Macaca mulatta: one gene and its partners. The protein of the gene in region 1 interacts with the protein of each later gene in a pairwise test. Links are inferred from orthologs where the notes say so. Each region holds a gene or a part of one and is shown on either strand. Other genes may lie near its edges.

Region 1 (5,371 bases):
CTTGCATTTTAGTACTTGGTTCTCACCTCAAAAACACCTAGGATCTGAAATATACAATCAGTGAGACACACAAAGTCATGTTTCCCATAGCTACCCCATAACCCAGTATTCCAGAGACAAGGTTCATATTAAACACGCTTTAACAAGGGACTCATTTTAAATATTGCCCTCTTTATAAAAGCAGAAGCTTATTACCATTGGATTTGAATCTGCTATGAGATCCCGTAGAGAATCCAGAAATCCCTGATCTTCCACCATTTGGGCATTGATATCATGGAGTTTTGCCACGCAGACTGCTGCTGTTTTCCGAACATAGGGATCCTCATCCTTCAAGCACTTGCGGAGTGGCTCACAGAGATACTCTGTAATTTTGTCTACCCGGATGCACCCCATGGTTCTGACTGCCAAGGCTCGAATCAAAGGATTAGGATCTTCACAGTCCTGCAGAAAACAATCACCAACAACTGTTAAGTATACATGGTGGCTAAAAGTAAACAGTCCAGTTTACATAAGCTGCAAAAGAATTACCTCATTAATTTAAGCTTCCACATACATTCTACACGAGCTCCAATCTTCCACACTATTGGTACAAATCTTAGCTGCCCTATTTAAGAGTTTAGGTGAGGAAGTCATTTAACTGTTTTAAATACAAAATGAGAAACAGCTCAGTAGGATTCATTCCAGTGCCAGGCAGAGGCTTAGGGAATTGGTACCATCCCACAGTCATTAGGATCTGCCCTAAAAACAGGAAAAGCTTTTGGGCTTGTATTCCGGCACAGAAAAAAAAGAAAGACCGTGCCCTATTCCACAGTGAGTTCCCAAGCATCAAATAGAGAGAAAAGTGAGCTAGATTTCTGGGGCCTGCAGCCAAGAAAACAAAGGGGAGCACAGGAGCCAGTCTGGGCTTGAAATAAGTACCTGGAGTTACGCAGCAGAGAGGGCCCTCTGAGTTCTTGACTGACATACATTCTCTTTTACTAGCAAGCGCTTCCAAATACAGTAAATAGAATATGGAGAAAGAACACTCTTTTAAACTGCCCTACATTAAAAAATGTCTTTAAGCCCATATAAATCCATGCACAACTCTAACTTCCAAAAAATGTAAACTAAATTATTCTCAATGATATATTCCACCTGTGAACCACCAATCACAGAGAACAAACTGTTATGTTCTAACTCTACAACGTAGCTAAACACAGGAAAAGAACAAAAAGTCCATGAGAAAGAAGAAGGCATATTGCACATTTTTCAAAACATTTTAAATAGAAGCTAATTTTAGAAATGCTGTCTGATTTTTTTAAATGTACACTAAGTTCCAAACAGAAAAAACAACTATTAAAAAAACATTAGGCTGGGGACAGAGGCTCACGCCTGTAATCCCAGCACTTTGAGAGGCTAAGGTGGGTGGATCACCTGAGGTCAGGAATTCAAGACCAGCCTGGCCAATACGGTGAAACCCCATCTCTACTAAAAATACAAAATTAGCCAGGTGTGGTGGCGCACGCCTGTAATCCCAGCTACTCGGGAGGATGAGGCAGGAGAATCACTTGAGCCTGGGAGGCAGAGGTTGCGGTGAGCTGAGATCGTGCCATTGCACTCCAGCCTGGGCAACAAGAACGAAATTCTGTCACAAAAAAAATAAAAATAAATAAAAATTAATGGGAACGATCCCATTATCATTTTCTTTAAATCTATGATAGGAAAGATTTGACTGGATATTCAATAATAAGAAAATGTTTTGTCCATTTTTAAAGACATGATGATATTGTGGTTATGTTTAAAAAGAATATCTTATCTTGACAAATATAAGGACAAAACTATTTAATATATGATGCTTAGGATTTGCTTTAAAATTATCCAGCAGGAGAGAGGGTTGGAGGTCAGAAAATATGTATGAGGATTATAAACAAGAGTGGTTACGTGTCGGTAACTGTTAAAACTGCAAGATGAACATTTATGAATTTATTATACTAGTCCTTTTTCTTGAATATGTTTAAAATTTTCCATTAAAAAAAATAAATCAGGCCGGGAGTGGTGGCTCGTGTCTGTAACCCCCGCACTTTGCGAGGCCGAGGTGGGTGGATCACTTGAAGTTAAGAGTTCGAAATTAGCCTGACCAACGTGGTAAAACCCTGTCTCTACTAAAAATACAAAAATAAGCTGAGCATGGTGACGGTCACCTGTAATCCCAGCTACTTGGGAGACTGAGGCAGGAGAATCACTTGAACCTGGAAGGCAGAGGTTGCAGTGAGCCAATATCGTGCCACTGCACTCCAGCCTCAGTGACACAGTGAGACTCCGTATCAAAAGAAAAAAAAAAAATCAAATGGTGTAAGACCTATTAAATGAAACAAAAGTAGAAACTCCTACAGTCTCCACTACTGCTGACTCATAAGCATAATTTCTACAAAGATAAAACAGGTAAAGCCGCCAGTTACTGATACTACAATGATATGCCCAACCTTTGTCAGCCTTAGAAGGTAAAACAGTGAGGTTTCACCAGGTTTTCTTCTACCCATCTGTCAAGGATGCACCAAGTCCCGCTAACAGAAAGCTCAGCACATGGTTTGAATTTCCCTGGATGACACACACTGGTATACAGAATGCTAAAAACATGAACATTCCTAGTCATTGCCAACACTTCCCTACACTCCTTCCTTGTGAACAAAGGTTACTTATTTGCAATTCAGACTCTGTTCTTGAGGCCTTGGGAAAAGTTACCTTCACAAAGCTGTTCACGGCCATGATGGCCATGTCTGGCTGACTCTTGGCATAGTTCATCAAGTAGAGATACACAAGCTTCTTTAGTTCCAGATTGTCAGTCTGCATACAGTTCACTACGTCTGGAAAGAGAGAACTGAGAAGAGAGGGCAAAAGAGAAAAGGAAAGTAAGCAGGTGTTGGTGCCAACCTGTTGGACAGAATATGAATAGCCTTAACTAACAGAGTGATTGATGCAAGAACAAATGTCCCCACAGTGGTAACTGTCACAGAAATGAATTACTCAAGAAACTGGCTGGGCACGGGGGCTCACACTTATAATCTCAGCACTTTGGGAGGCCAAGGCAGGTGGATCACCTGAGGTCGGGAGTTTGAGACCAGCCTGACCAACATGGAGAAACCCCATCTCTACTAAAGATACAAAAAATTAGCCAGGCATGATGCTGCATGCCTGTAATCCCAGCTACTCAGGAAGCTGAGACAGGAGAATCGCTTGAACCTGGAAGGCAGAGGTTGTAGTGAGCTGAGATCGCGCCATTGCACGCCATCCTGGGCAACAAGAGCGAGACTCCTGCATCTCAAAAAAAAAAAAACAGAAAAGAAAAGAAAAGAAACTATAGGCCAGGCATGGTGGCTCACGTCTGTAATCTCAGCACTTTGGGAGGCTGTAAGGATCACTTGAGACCAGGTGTTCAAGGCCAGCCTGGACAACATGGCGAGATCCTGTCTCCACAATTTTTTTTTTTTTAAATCTGGGTATGGTGGTGCACACCTGCAGTCTTAGCTACTCAGGACGCTGAAGCAGGTAGATCACTTGAGCCCAGAAGGTCGAGACGGCAGTGCGCCATGATCACATAACTGCACTCCAGCCTGGATGACAGAGTGAGACCTTGTCCCTAGCCAAAAAAAAATAGGAAAAAAATTGTAGTGCTGTTCTCAACAAGGTCTCTATATAGTTTTAGAATAAGTTTTTTATTATGAAAAATGTTAATCTCAGTGCTGGGATTACATGCATAAGCCACTGTGCCCAGCTTCATCTATAATATTTTAATGTATATCTTAAGAATCCTTTTTTTATTCTTTTTGAGACAGAGTCTCACTCTGTCACATAGGCTGGAGTACAGTGGCACGATCTTTGCTTGCTTCAACCTCCGCCTCCCAGGTTCAAGCAATTCTAATTCATCAGCCTCCTGAGTAGCTGAGATTACAGGTGTGCGCCACCACGCCCAGCTAATTTTTATATTTTTAGTAGAGAGCGGTTTTCACCACGTTAGCCAGGCTAGTCCCAAACTCCTGACCTCAGGTGATCCATCCACCTCGGCCTCCCAAAGTGCTGTGATTACAGATGTGAGCCACCATGCCCAGCCAAGTGTCTTTTTTTTTTTTCCACTACCTTTATCACATCCAAAACAAAAACAAAAACAAAAACAAAAAAGCCAGGCCCAGTGGCTCACATCTTTAATCCAAGCACTTTGGGAGGCCGTGGTGGTAGGACTGCTTGAGCCTAGGAGTGTGAGATCAGCCTGGGCAACACAGTGAGACCTTGTCTGTATAAATAATTTTAAAAATTAGCCAGGCATGGTGGTGTGCGCCTGTGGTCCCAGCTACTCAGGAAGCTGAAGTGGGAGGATCACTTGAGCCTGGGATGCAGAGGCTGCAGTGAGCCATGATCATGCCACTGCACTCCAGCCTGAGGAACAGAGCAAGACCCCATCTCAAAAAATAAATAAATAAATAAATAATAACAATAATTATTTTAAAATATTTATTTTATGTACAAAAAGGTAACATGGTTTCTCTCATTGGGTGGGTGCCTTAGATAATCCATTTATGGAAGATCACTTAGTCCAACTTAATGAAATCTATATCCTTCACGTACTGATGGAAACACTGGTGGCATATAACGAGGCTGAATTTCCAGATCAGACTGTGCCCAGTTTCAGCAGACACGACAACAGCAAGAACCCTGGCTGACTTTTCGTGGGTGGCTCTAGTAGAGCTGCTGATGAATCATCTTGCTTTCAGGAGTGCAAGAGGGCAAAATGAATAATAATTCTTCATATCAATCTAGTACTGTTTCAAAGTACTTCAGTTACACTTTTTAATGTTCATATTCTTCCATTCTTGACCAGTGGGAACTTAGCTCCTGAATCCTTGTGGTATGACCTGGTATTTTCCATACTTTCCTTTATGACAAGATGCTCCATCCAGGCTCATTTTGTACATTTCTAATCCCAGACCTAGAATCAGTCATCCTCCAAGATGTCCTGATTCTCTTTTAGTGAAATTATTTTTTTTAACATTACATATTCAGACAAAAGAATATTTGAGAGTAATCAAATATAAAAGGAGTTTACACCTTTCCCAAGTTCTAGTTATTTCATGATTTACCATTCTCCTATAAGCCACAGGAAATAAATTTAAAGGAGCACCATTAGCTTGGAAGGGTTGAGCTTGTCAGATTCTAAAGTGTAAGCTGTATCTTTAAAATATAGGATAAATATAACTTTACGGGAAGTTAGCAATTAATCTTCCCCACAATGCTTTATCAAAGTACCTTATAATTTTTTAATACTGCTAAACATCTTGCTACTAGCACAGAAGAAAGGAAAAACAAATGTAGGTATATTTCCACAAGGAAAGTAAGGGGA
Region 2 (5,371 bases), about 5.2 Mb from region 1:
TGATACGTATATGTTACACACATCTATTATTTTTTAACCACGTGGGAATAAGTTGAATGCATCATGGCCTTATACCCCTTCAGAGTGTATGGCCTAAGAATAGGGATATTCTATTTCATTAACCACATGAAATGTACCAGCTTCAGTCAGTTTGACATTGACAGGATACCTTTAAAAATCTGTTCTATTCTAGTTGTGTCAATTAACCAATGATGTCCTTTGTAGCAGTTTTTTCCCCTCTAGTCTAAGGTTATATATGACATGTAGTTTTCATGTCTCTTTAGTCTCCTGTACTCTGGAATGGTTCTTCAGTCTTTTGTTTTTTATGACACTGATATTTTTGTAAACAGATAGTTGCTTTTTCTATTTGTACTATTTTATATAGGTGAAATTTAAAGCAACATCAAATTAACCATTTTAAAGTGAACAATTCAGTGACATTCAGTACATTTACAATGTTATATAATCACCTTTATCTAGTTCCAATTTTTCATCACTTCAAAAGGAAATCCTGTATTCCTTAAACAGTTCCTCCACATACCCCCTCCTCCCAGCCCCTGACAACCACCAGACTGTACTCTGTCTCTATGGATTCGCCTATTCTCTATATTTCATTTAAATGTAAAGTCTCTTTTTAAAAAATAGAATGTGTCTCATTTTGATTCCTCTGATGGTTCCTGAAGGTTAGATTTAGATTATACATTTCCACCCAGAATACTGCTTCAGTGGTGGTTTGTTTTTTTCTCATGGTATTATATCCAGAAACACGCAGTGTTCATTTGTCCCCTTTGTCAGTTTTTATCAAGTTGTAACATTTCTTTATTATATAATTATTATTACCCTCTTGCAGATATTAAACAGTCTGTAAGTAGACACTTAAGACCATGCAAATATCCTCTTACCCCCTCCCTTAATTTAGCATGTTGATTCTTTTTTTTTTTTTTTTTTGAGACGGAGTCTTTGCTCTGTCACCCAGGTTGGGGTGCAGTGGCGCGAACTCGGCTCACTACAAGCTCCGCCTCCTGGGTTTATGCCATTCTCCAACCTCAGCCTCCCGAGTAGCTGGGACTACAGGCGCCCGCCACCTTGCCCGGCTAGGTTTTTTTTGTACTTTTAGTAGAGACGGGGTTTCACCGTGTTAGCCAGGATGGTCTCGATCTCCTGACCTTGTGATCCGCCCGTCTCGGCCTCCCAAAGTGCTGGGATTACAGGCGTGAGCCACCGCGCCCGGCCCAGCATGTTGATTCTTGCTTAAAACATTCTTAATGTGTTGGTTGCAAAATGAAAAATTTTCAAATTCTAGCAGTTTCTCCACATTTGTCAGTTAACACTCATGCATTCATGAACTCTTGGATTTTATTCGATGGGGTGCAATCCATTACTTTTTATTTTGATGCTCAAATTGTCCCAGCTGGTGAGAACATCTTCAGTCTGTGTCTTTGTGTCATGGGCTCATTGTTCTTTGAGCATTTTAACTTATTTTCTGGCACACAATACACCAAGCTCATTTTGTACCTTCTGCAGCCCTGGAGTCAGTCATTTCTCTAGGGAACCTTTTACTGGGGCATGGTATTAGAAATCAAGATCTGGGCCAGGTGAGTGGCTCACTCCTAGAATCCCAGCACTTTGGGAGGCTGAGGCAGGAGGATCACTTGAGCCCAGGAGTTGAAACCAGCCTGGGCAACATAGCGAGCCCGTCTCTACAAAAAATTACATAATTAGCTGGGGGAGGTACCATGCACTTGGTTCGAAGCTACCCAGAAGGCTGAGATAGGAGGATCACTTGAGCCCAGGAGGTCAAGGTTGCAGTGAATTACGATCGCAACACTGCACTCTCCAGCCTGGACAACAGAGCAAGACTCCTATTTTCTGAAAATACTAGAAGTCAAGATCTGAGCTTAGGTATATTTGCTTCTAAGATCTTTCAGTGGTCAGAGCTAGGAAATAGTTATATTTATGTACATACATATGCTCACTTATGTACATACATGTGCATATACACATGGAAAAATAAACACACAAGAACAGCTAGTAAAACACTGAAAAATGTAAAAGTGGACTAGTCCTACCAGATGTTAAATTGTATATTACAAAGCCTGTATAATTAAAACAGTATATTACTGGTACGTGAATCAAAGTCCAAAAGTAGGTCCAATATCAGTAAGATTATCAATAAACAGAGTTTAAACAATAGGAAATAACCTCTAAAATGCTATAAAAAGTCTTTTACTTTTTACCTTGAAATTGATCTGTCATATCTTCTTTAGGTTTGCAATGAGAATTCCCTCTTCAAAAGTCTTTCTCGCTACCTGGTACGTCGAAAGGATCCAGAATTGTGGGGCAGCGTGCTGCTGGAAAGCAATCCTTACAGGAGACCCCTAATTGACCAGGTAACATTGGCAAACATATTTATGACTGTCAGTAAAAATTATACATTTTTAACTGTGGATACAATCCCCTCATCATATACTCAAATGGATCATATTTAACTAGGAGAGAAAGCAATACAAAGTAGAAGGAAATTAAAATTTATATACATTCAATTTACATTCATTTGTATATAATGAATGTAAATTGATTACGTTATATATAAATTAATGTAAATTTATATAAGTATAAATATGTATATAACATACATTAAGAAAAATAAGCTGCGTGCAGTCACGCCTGTAATCCCAGCACTTTGGGAGGCCGAGGTGGGCGGATTGCCTGAGGTCGGGAGTTCGAGACCAGTCTGGCCAACGTGGTGAAACCCCGTCTCTACTAAAAATATAAAAATTAGCCAGGCATGGTGGCACGCACCTGTAATCCCAGCTACTCAGGAGGCTGAGGCAGGAAAATCGCTTGAACCTGGGAGGCGGAGGTTGCAGTGAGCTGAGATCACGCCATTGCACTCCAGCCTGGGTGACAAGCGAGACTGTATCAAAAAAAACGAAAACACATCCTAAAAGACATGACTTAATTACATAAAACTCTCTCGGTTCATCATAGTTTAAAAGGAAAATAACAAACTAAACAGTAAGGATTGCTATTAACGCCTAAGAAGTGGCTAAATTGATTGGAAACTTCAAGACAATAAGTCAGCAAAAGATAAGGATAAGAGAAAATACAAAAGACCAAGTGCATCTGTTATATCTTACTAACAAGAAGTATAGAACTGCACATGAGATGGGCTTTTATACCTAAATAAAATAGACAACATATTTTAAAAGCTCTAAAAATTGAAGGGTTGTTAATAATGAGTCTTAATATTCTCCTGAAATAAGTATAAATAAAACATTTTGGAAACAAATAGGTTGAAGGCTATTAATATTTCATTCCTTTCCTAGGAAGCATTTCTAAGGAACATTCCAACTAGTTACAAAGCTTCCTAGGGGAAGGATGTGGAGAGGGGGTGGTTGGAAATCATTGCAGCATCTAGAAAGCCATGCAAATAGGCAAAACTAGAAGAATTACTGATACTATAGTTCCACATCTGTGTAGTTGAATTTTGAATTATGTGTAGCCACCAAAGTGATAATGATGATTGCTAGTCTGGATAATGTTTTAATCAGGGAAAAGATAGAAATTATATAATTAGAGTAATTTTTCAAGAGAGTAGAATTACACATATTGTATAGATTTGTGTAGAAAGACCTCTGTGTGTAAATTTAAAGGTCTTTTTCCTACTTCATTCTTTTCTGCCTATTTCAAGTTTTCTAATGAGAGGCCAACTTATCCTTATTTAAAACCAACTTGATTCTCAATACTTATGTCCCATATATCCTCTGTAGGTTGTACAAACAGCTTTGTCTGAGACTCAGGACCCTGAAGAAGTGTCAGTAACTGTCAAGGCTTTCATGACTGCAGACCTTCCTAATGAACTGATTGAACTGCTGGAGAAAATTGTCCTTGATAACTCTGTATTCAGTGAACACAGGTATGCTTTCAGAGGGATCCATTGGCTGTTTATTGTCAGTCTTTAATAATGGCCCATCAGTTTTGGGAAGGAACAAAAAGATCAGAGAAAGTTGCCTGAATTCTCACTCTTCTAATATCCCCCCTCCTTCACTCTATCTCTTGAGACAAAAACCTCTCTATTAGTCACAGTGGTTTTTTTTTATGTCTGATAAACTTAAAATATTGCATTTAAAATATTCTTTTGTTTCTTAAAGGAATCTGCAAAACCTCCTTATCCTCACCGCAATTAAAGCTGACCGTACACGTGTTATGGAGTATATTAACCGCTTGGATAATTATGATGCCCCAGATATTGCCAATATCGCCATCAGCAATGAGCTGTTTGAAGAAGCATTTGCCATTTTCCGGAAATTTGATGTCAATACTTCAGCAGTTCAGGTAAATCTTTAGATTACCTAAGTTGAATTACTAAATGTAATGTCTTCTACTCATTCAGTGTATGCACTGTCCTGTGAGGGTGGGCCTAATTTGTTCCTATGGCAATAGAAGAGCAATAAAATACTAACAGCTTAAATGTAATTGCTCTGGGTAGGATTGATTTTACTCTAACCCCAATTTCAAACTTGGGTACTTAGGTCTTAATTGAACATATTGGAAACTTGGATCGGGCATATGAGTTTGCTGAACGTTGCAATGAACCTGCGGTCTGGAGTCAACTTGCAAAAGCCCAGTTGCAGAAAGGAATGGTGAAAGAAGCCATTGATTCTTATATCAAAGCAGACGATCCTTCCTCCTACATGGAAGTTGTTCAGGCTGCCAATACTAGTGGTATGACTTCTTACCTTATGTATTGAGACCTCACAAAATGATTAAGCTAAGCATTAAGATATCTGTCTGTTCTGAATTGTAGAAGAGTTGGATACTGCATGGTTTCCTGTGAAAACTTTTAGTACTCCATCTTAGTCCAGATAAAAAGAGGCTGTATTTTGTGAATTTGTAAGTTCACAAAACTTACAAGTGGGGAAGATAAATTTTCTGTTTTTGAAGTCTCATAAAATCCTGATAATCCTCTAATCTTACAACTTTAAGGAAAAAGAGAATTCTTCTATTCATTTGGTCTTTGATAATACAGAAGTGAAATATTGCACAGTTTACATTTGTCATTATCCATGTTTCCTTGAAAAGGAAATGAGCAATTTTCATTTACTTGGGTGAAAGGTAAACTGGGATGTTAGTGTTTGGATATATTTTTTCTTTTTCTATACTTAGGAAACTGGGAAGAACTGGTGAAGTACTTGCAGATGGCCCGTAAGAAGGCTCGAGAGTCCTATGTGGAGACAGAATTGATATTTGCGCTGGCTAAAACAAACCGCCTTGCAGAGTTAGAAGAATTTATCAATGGACCAAATAATGCTCATATCCAACAAGTGGGTTTCCTTTTCAGATTTAAGAAAAACTAGTTGGGCTACTT
Region 3 (5,371 bases), on another chromosome or scaffold:
CTTCCCTCCTTCCTTCCTTCCTCCTTCCTTCCTTCCTTCCTTCCTTCCTTCCTTCCTTCCTTCCTTCCTTCTTTTCTTCAGGGTCTCACTCTGTTGCCCAGGCTGGAGTGCAGTAGTATAATCACAGCTCACTGCAGCCTCAACCTCCTAGGTTCAATCGATCCTCCTGCCTCAGACTCCAGAGTAGCTGTGACTACACAGGTGCAGGCCACCATGCTCAGCTAATTCTTGAAATTTTTTGTAGAGGAATCCCGCTATGTTGCCAAAACCGGTCTCAAACTCCTGGCCTCAAGCGATTCTCCTGCCTCGGTCTCCCGAAGCAGTGGGATTACATGAGTGAGTCATTGCACCTGAACTTTTCTTTCTTTGTCTTTTTCTTTTTTTAAATAATCCCACTTTGGTGCAAATGAAGTCTGGGGCAGCAGCAGGGATTCTGGACCCAGGATGACTTAGATCAATCGCCAGTTTCCATATGCTTCCAACGGACATGGTTTCTAACCTCACTTCTCCTATGTGAAATTGAGATGATGATAACATCTACCCCACAGGGTTGTGGCAAGAACTAATAAGTTAGCAAACATCTACTCTTGTTTTAGTTGCCTGCCTTCCTGCCTGCCTGCCTGCCTGCCTTCCTTCCCTCTCTCCCTCCCTTTCTCTCTTTCTTTCTCTTTCTTCTTTTGAGACGGAGTCTTGCTCTGTCGCCAGGCTGGAGTGCAGTGCCGCGATCTCAACTCACTGCAACCTCCGCCTCCCAGGTTCAAGTGACCCTCCTGCCTCAGCCTCCCGAGTAGCTGGGACTATAGGTGCGCATCACCACATCCAACTAATTTTTTGTATTTTTAGTAAAGACGGGGTTTCACCATGTTGGCCAGGATGGTCTCGATCTCTTGACCTTATGATCCACCCGCCTCATCCTCCCAAAATGCTGGGATTACAGGCATTAGCCACTGTGTCCAGCTGTCGCCTACTCTTTACTAAAACACAGCCTGGTGCTTAGTGAGGGTCCTAGACCCATTTAGCTGTTATCATCACACTCCCATTTTATAGAGCGGGAAACAGGCACAAGGCGGCAGAGCCTTGCCCGAGCCCCTCAGCTAGGAAGTAGGGTCAGAACCGGGCACTGTGCCCCCACAGCGTGGTAGGTTCCTGGATGCTGGTGGTGACCAGGTCCTTTCCTCCCACCCTCAGCCGTTGATCAGCCGCAATTACAAGGGCGATGTGGCCATGAGCAAGATTGAGCACTTCATGCCTCTGCTGGTACAGAGGGAGGAGGAAGGCGCCCTGGCCCCGCTGCTGAGCCACGGCGAAGTCCACTTCCTATGGATCAAACACAGCAACCTCTACTGTATCCACCCCACGTGGTGTCCCTGGGGGTGGGTGTGGGGGGTATTGGCGATGGTGGCACCTCAGGCCGAGAGAGGGTGGGCTGAGGACAGGCGTTGCCCAGCACATCTCTGTGGCTCAGGCTAGCGGGCAGGGGCAGGTAGAGATGAGGGCGGTGGCAAGGGACAGGGTGGAGGTTCAGGGTCTGTATTCCATTTACTCCTCCATAAATGACACCTTTTCCTTAACCTTGCTGCCCCCAGTGGTGGCCACCACATCGAAGAACGCCAATGCCTCCCTGGTGTACTCCTTCCTGTATAAGACAATAGAGGTAGGTACTAGCGTCCCATTGGCTGACTGGTCTATCTGTCTACCCCTCTTGCCAGCCTCTTTCAAAATCCTTTTCTGATAGGAAGCCTTCCCAGATCTCTCTGGGCCTTCTTTTTTTTTTTTTTCTGGTAGAGACGGGGTCTTGCTATATTGCCCAGGCTGGTCTAGAACTTCTAGATTGAAGCAATCCTCCTGCCTCGGCCTCCCAAAGTGTGGGAGCCACCACACTCAGCCCTTCCCTGGGGCCTTGTTCGTGTCCCTGTGCATCCACCATCAAAGCCCCATCACTCTGCATCTCATCAGCTACTTATGAAGTCATCTCTCCCTAAAGGGCAGGGACCAAGAATGTCTCAGAGAGTGTACGGCTCAGCTAAGCTGGAAGACTTGGCATCCAGTCCCAGGTTCCCTGCTTCCTCGCTGTGTGACCTTGAGCAAGTGACTTCTTGTCTCTGTGCTTTAAAAAAAAAAAAAAGAAAAAAAGGCCACGCACAGTGGCTTATGCCTGTAATCCCAGCATTTTGGGAGGCCAAGGCGGGCGGATCACTTGAGGCCATGAGTTCGAGACCAGCTTGGGCAACATGGTGAAACCCATTCTCTACTAAAAATACAAAAATTAGCCGGGTGTGGTGGCAACTGCCTGTAATCCCAGCTACTCTGGAGGCTAAGGCAGTAGAATCGCTTAAACTTGGAGGGCAGAGGTTGCAGTGAGCCAAGATCACACCACTGCACTCCAGCCTGGGTGAGAGTGAGACTCCATCTCAAAAAAAAAAAAAAGTCTGGAAGCCCTTCCCCTCCCCTCCCTTCCCTTCTTCTTCTTCTTCTTCTTTTTTTGATATAGCGTTTTGCTCTTGTTACCCAAGGTAGAGTACAATGGTGTGATCTCTGCTCACCACAACCTCTGCCTCCCAGGTTCAGGTGATTCTCCTGCCTCAGCCTTCCTGAGCAGCTGGGATTACAGGCATGCACCACCATGCCCGGCTAATTTTTTTGTATTTTTAGTGGAGATAGGGTTTCTCCATGTCGGTGAGGCTGGTCTTGAACTCCTGACCTCAGGTGATCCACCCCCCTCAGCCTCCCAAAGTGCTGGGATTACAGGCATGAGCCACCCCACCTGGACCTTTCCCTTCTTTTGAGACAGAGTTTCGCTTTTGTTGCTCAGGCTGCAATGGCACAATCTCAGCTCACCTCAACCTCTGGGTTCTCAGCCTCAGCCTCCTGGGTTCAAGGGATTCTCCTGAATCAGCCTCCTGAGTACCTGGGATTACAGGCATGTGCCACCACACCCAGCTAATTTTCTGTATTTGGCCAGGCTGGTCTCAAACTCCTGACCTCAGTGATCCACCCACCTCAGCCGCCTAAAGTGCTGTGAGTACAGATATAAGCCACCATCCCTGGCTTGTTTCTTTCTTTTCTTTTTTTTTGAGACACCATGCCCCACTAATTAAAAAAATTTTTTTTAGTAGAGGCTGGGCACGGTGGCTCACGCCTGTAATCAAAGCACTTTTGGAGGCTGAAGCGGGTGGATCACTTGAGGTCAGGAGTTTGAGACCAGCCTGGCCAACATGGAGAAACCCTGTCTCTACTAAAAATACAAAAATTAGCCGGGCATGGTGTCGTGCACCTGTAATCCCAGCTACTGGGGAAGCTGAAGCAGTAGAATCACCTGAACCTGGAAGGCGGAGGTTGTGGTGAGCCGAGATCTCGCCACTTGCACTCCAGCCTGGGCAACACTGTGAGACTTAGTCTCAAAAAAAAAGCCACCACACCTGGCCTTTTTTGCCTACTTTTTCAAGCATTCAGCACACTTTCTTTTCTTTTCTTTTCTTTTTTTGAGATAGGGTCTCACTTTGTTGCCCAGGCTGGAGTATAGTGGCACAATCTCAGCTCACTGTAACCTCTACCTCCTGGGTTCAAGCAATTCTCCTGCTTCAGCCTCCCTAGTTGCTGCAGTTACAGGCAGGTGCCACCATGCCTGACTAATTTTTGTATTTTTAGTAGAGACGGGCTTTCACCATGTTGGCCAGGCTGGTCTCAAACTCCTGACCTCAAGTGATCTGCCTGCCTCGGCCTCCCATTATTGGGATTACAGGCATGAGCCACCATGCCTGGCCTTTTTTGTTTTTGAGACAGGATCTTATTCTGTTGCCCAGGCTGGAGTGCCTCCTCCAGTGGCATCCTCATGGCCCACTGAGGCCTCGACCTCCTAATAAAATTTTTGTTGTTGTTAGAGATAGGGGCTCACTGTGTTGCCCAGGCTGGTCTGGAACTCACCTCAAGTGATCCTTGTGCCTTGGCTTCCCAAGGTGCTGGGGTTACAGGCATGAGCTACTGTGCCCAGCCCTTAGCCACACTTTTGTGGGTGTCTCTCTCCCCTGACCCCCAGGTATTCTGTGAATACTTCAAGGAGCTGGAGGAGGAGAGCATCCGGGACAACTTTGTCATCGTCTATGAGTTGCTGGATGAGCTCATGGACTTTGGCTTCCCGCAGACCACCGACAGCAAGATCCTGCAGGAGTGAGTGGACCCCTGGGGGCAGGCTGGACTGTGGGTGTAAGTAACTGGAGGAGGTCCACAGAGGTGTCCCTGTGTCCAGCTGCCTGTCCCTACCGCCCTCACTCCAGGTACATCACTCAGCAGAGCAACAAGCTGGAGACAGGCAAGTCACGGGTGCCACCCACTGTCACTAACGCTGTGTCCTGGCGCTCTGAGGGTATCAAGTATAAGAAGAACGAGGTCTTCATTGATGTCATAGAGTCTGTCAACCTGCTGGTAAGCCCGCATACCTCCCCCGCACCCCTTCCAGGGCCTGGCTGCGGGAGAGGGAGCTGGATGCCTGCTGACCACCCCCCACATCCATCCTCAGGTCAACGCCAACGGCAGCGTCCTGCTGAGCGAGATCGTTGGTACCATCAAGCTCAAGGTTTTTCTGTCGGGAATGCCAGAGCTGCGGCTGGGCCTCAATGACCGCGTGCTCTTCGAGCTCACTGGCCGTAAGTATTTAGGGGACCTTTCTTCTGAGAAGTGCACAGGGGAGTCGCAAACCTGGCCCACGTGGGGACTTAGAGAATCGCCGCCGGTTTTGAAATAAGTGCTCCCACGCCATCTGCTGGTCACGGCCAGTATTGCAGCCAGTGGTTGACTGTTTCAAAGGCTATTTCATGATTGAGCGACTGTTGGGTGCCAGGTGCAGTTTTAGGCTCTGAGGACACAGCAGTGAAGAAAAAGACAAACCCTCGTTCTTACAGAGATGATATCCCACTGGGAGGAGGAGACATTATAACATCTTTCTTTTTTTTTTTTTTTGAGACGGAGTCTCGATCTATCGCCCAGGCTGGAGTGCAGTGGCGCGATCTCGGCTCACGGCAAGCTCCGCTTCCTGGGTTCACGCCATTCTCCTGCCTCAGCCTCCTGAGTAGCTGGGACTACTGGCGCCCGCCACCGCGCCCGTCTAATATTTTGTATTTTTAGTGGAGACGGGGTTTCACCGTGGTCTCGATCTCCTGACCTTGTGATCCACTCGCCTCGGCCTCCCAAAGTGCTGGGATTACAGGCGTGAGCCACCGCGCCCGGCCCATAACATCTTATTTATGTATTTATTTATTTAGAGATGCGGTCTTGCTGTGTCGCTCAGGCTGGAGTGTAGTGGTGTGATCATAGCTCACTGCAGCCTTGACCTCCGAGGCTCAAGTGATCCTCCCACCACAGCCTCTCGAGTAGC

What was found.
Region 2: the proteins of AP2B1 (region 1) and CLTC interact in a two-hybrid assay, tested with the Homo sapiens proteins (2 studies listed by BioGRID, with this or other methods). The link is inferred for Macaca mulatta from reciprocal best matches to the Homo sapiens genes AP2B1 and CLTC.
Region 3: the proteins of AP2B1 (region 1) and AP1M2 interact in binary tests that used the Homo sapiens proteins (3 or more experiments, as listed by UniProt). The two-hybrid records come from large-scale screens. The link is inferred for Macaca mulatta from reciprocal best matches to the Homo sapiens genes AP2B1 and AP1M2.

Annotation. Positions count from the first base shown.
Region 1 is NC_133421.1:45,075,782-45,081,152, reverse strand, and holds part of AP2B1 (AP-2 complex subunit beta), read right to left. Parts: intron 2,858-5,371; coding exon 2,722-2,857; intron 442-2,721; coding exon 196-441; intron 1-195. UniProt on the Homo sapiens protein: Component of the adaptor protein complex 2 (AP-2). Adaptor protein complexes function in protein transport via transport vesicles in different membrane traffic pathways.
Region 2 is NC_133421.1:50,304,036-50,309,406, reverse strand, and holds part of CLTC (clathrin heavy chain 1), read left to right. Parts: intron 1-2,267; coding exon 2,268-2,390; intron 2,391-3,773; coding exon 3,774-3,919; intron 3,920-4,154; coding exon 4,155-4,338; intron 4,339-4,535; coding exon 4,536-4,728; intron 4,729-5,169; coding exon 5,170-5,327; intron 5,328-5,371. UniProt on the Homo sapiens protein: Clathrin is the major protein of the polyhedral coat of coated pits and vesicles. Two different adapter protein complexes link the clathrin lattice either to the plasma membrane or to the trans-Golgi network.
Region 3 is NC_133424.1:11,301,559-11,306,929, reverse strand, and holds part of AP1M2 (AP-1 complex subunit mu-2), read left to right. Parts: intron 1-1,188; coding exon 1,189-1,345; intron 1,346-1,586; coding exon 1,587-1,654; intron 1,655-4,036; coding exon 4,037-4,167; intron 4,168-4,274; coding exon 4,275-4,422; intron 4,423-4,456; coding exon 4,457-4,643; intron 4,644-5,371. UniProt on the Homo sapiens protein: Subunit of clathrin-associated adaptor protein complex 1 that plays a role in protein sorting in the trans-Golgi network (TGN) and endosomes.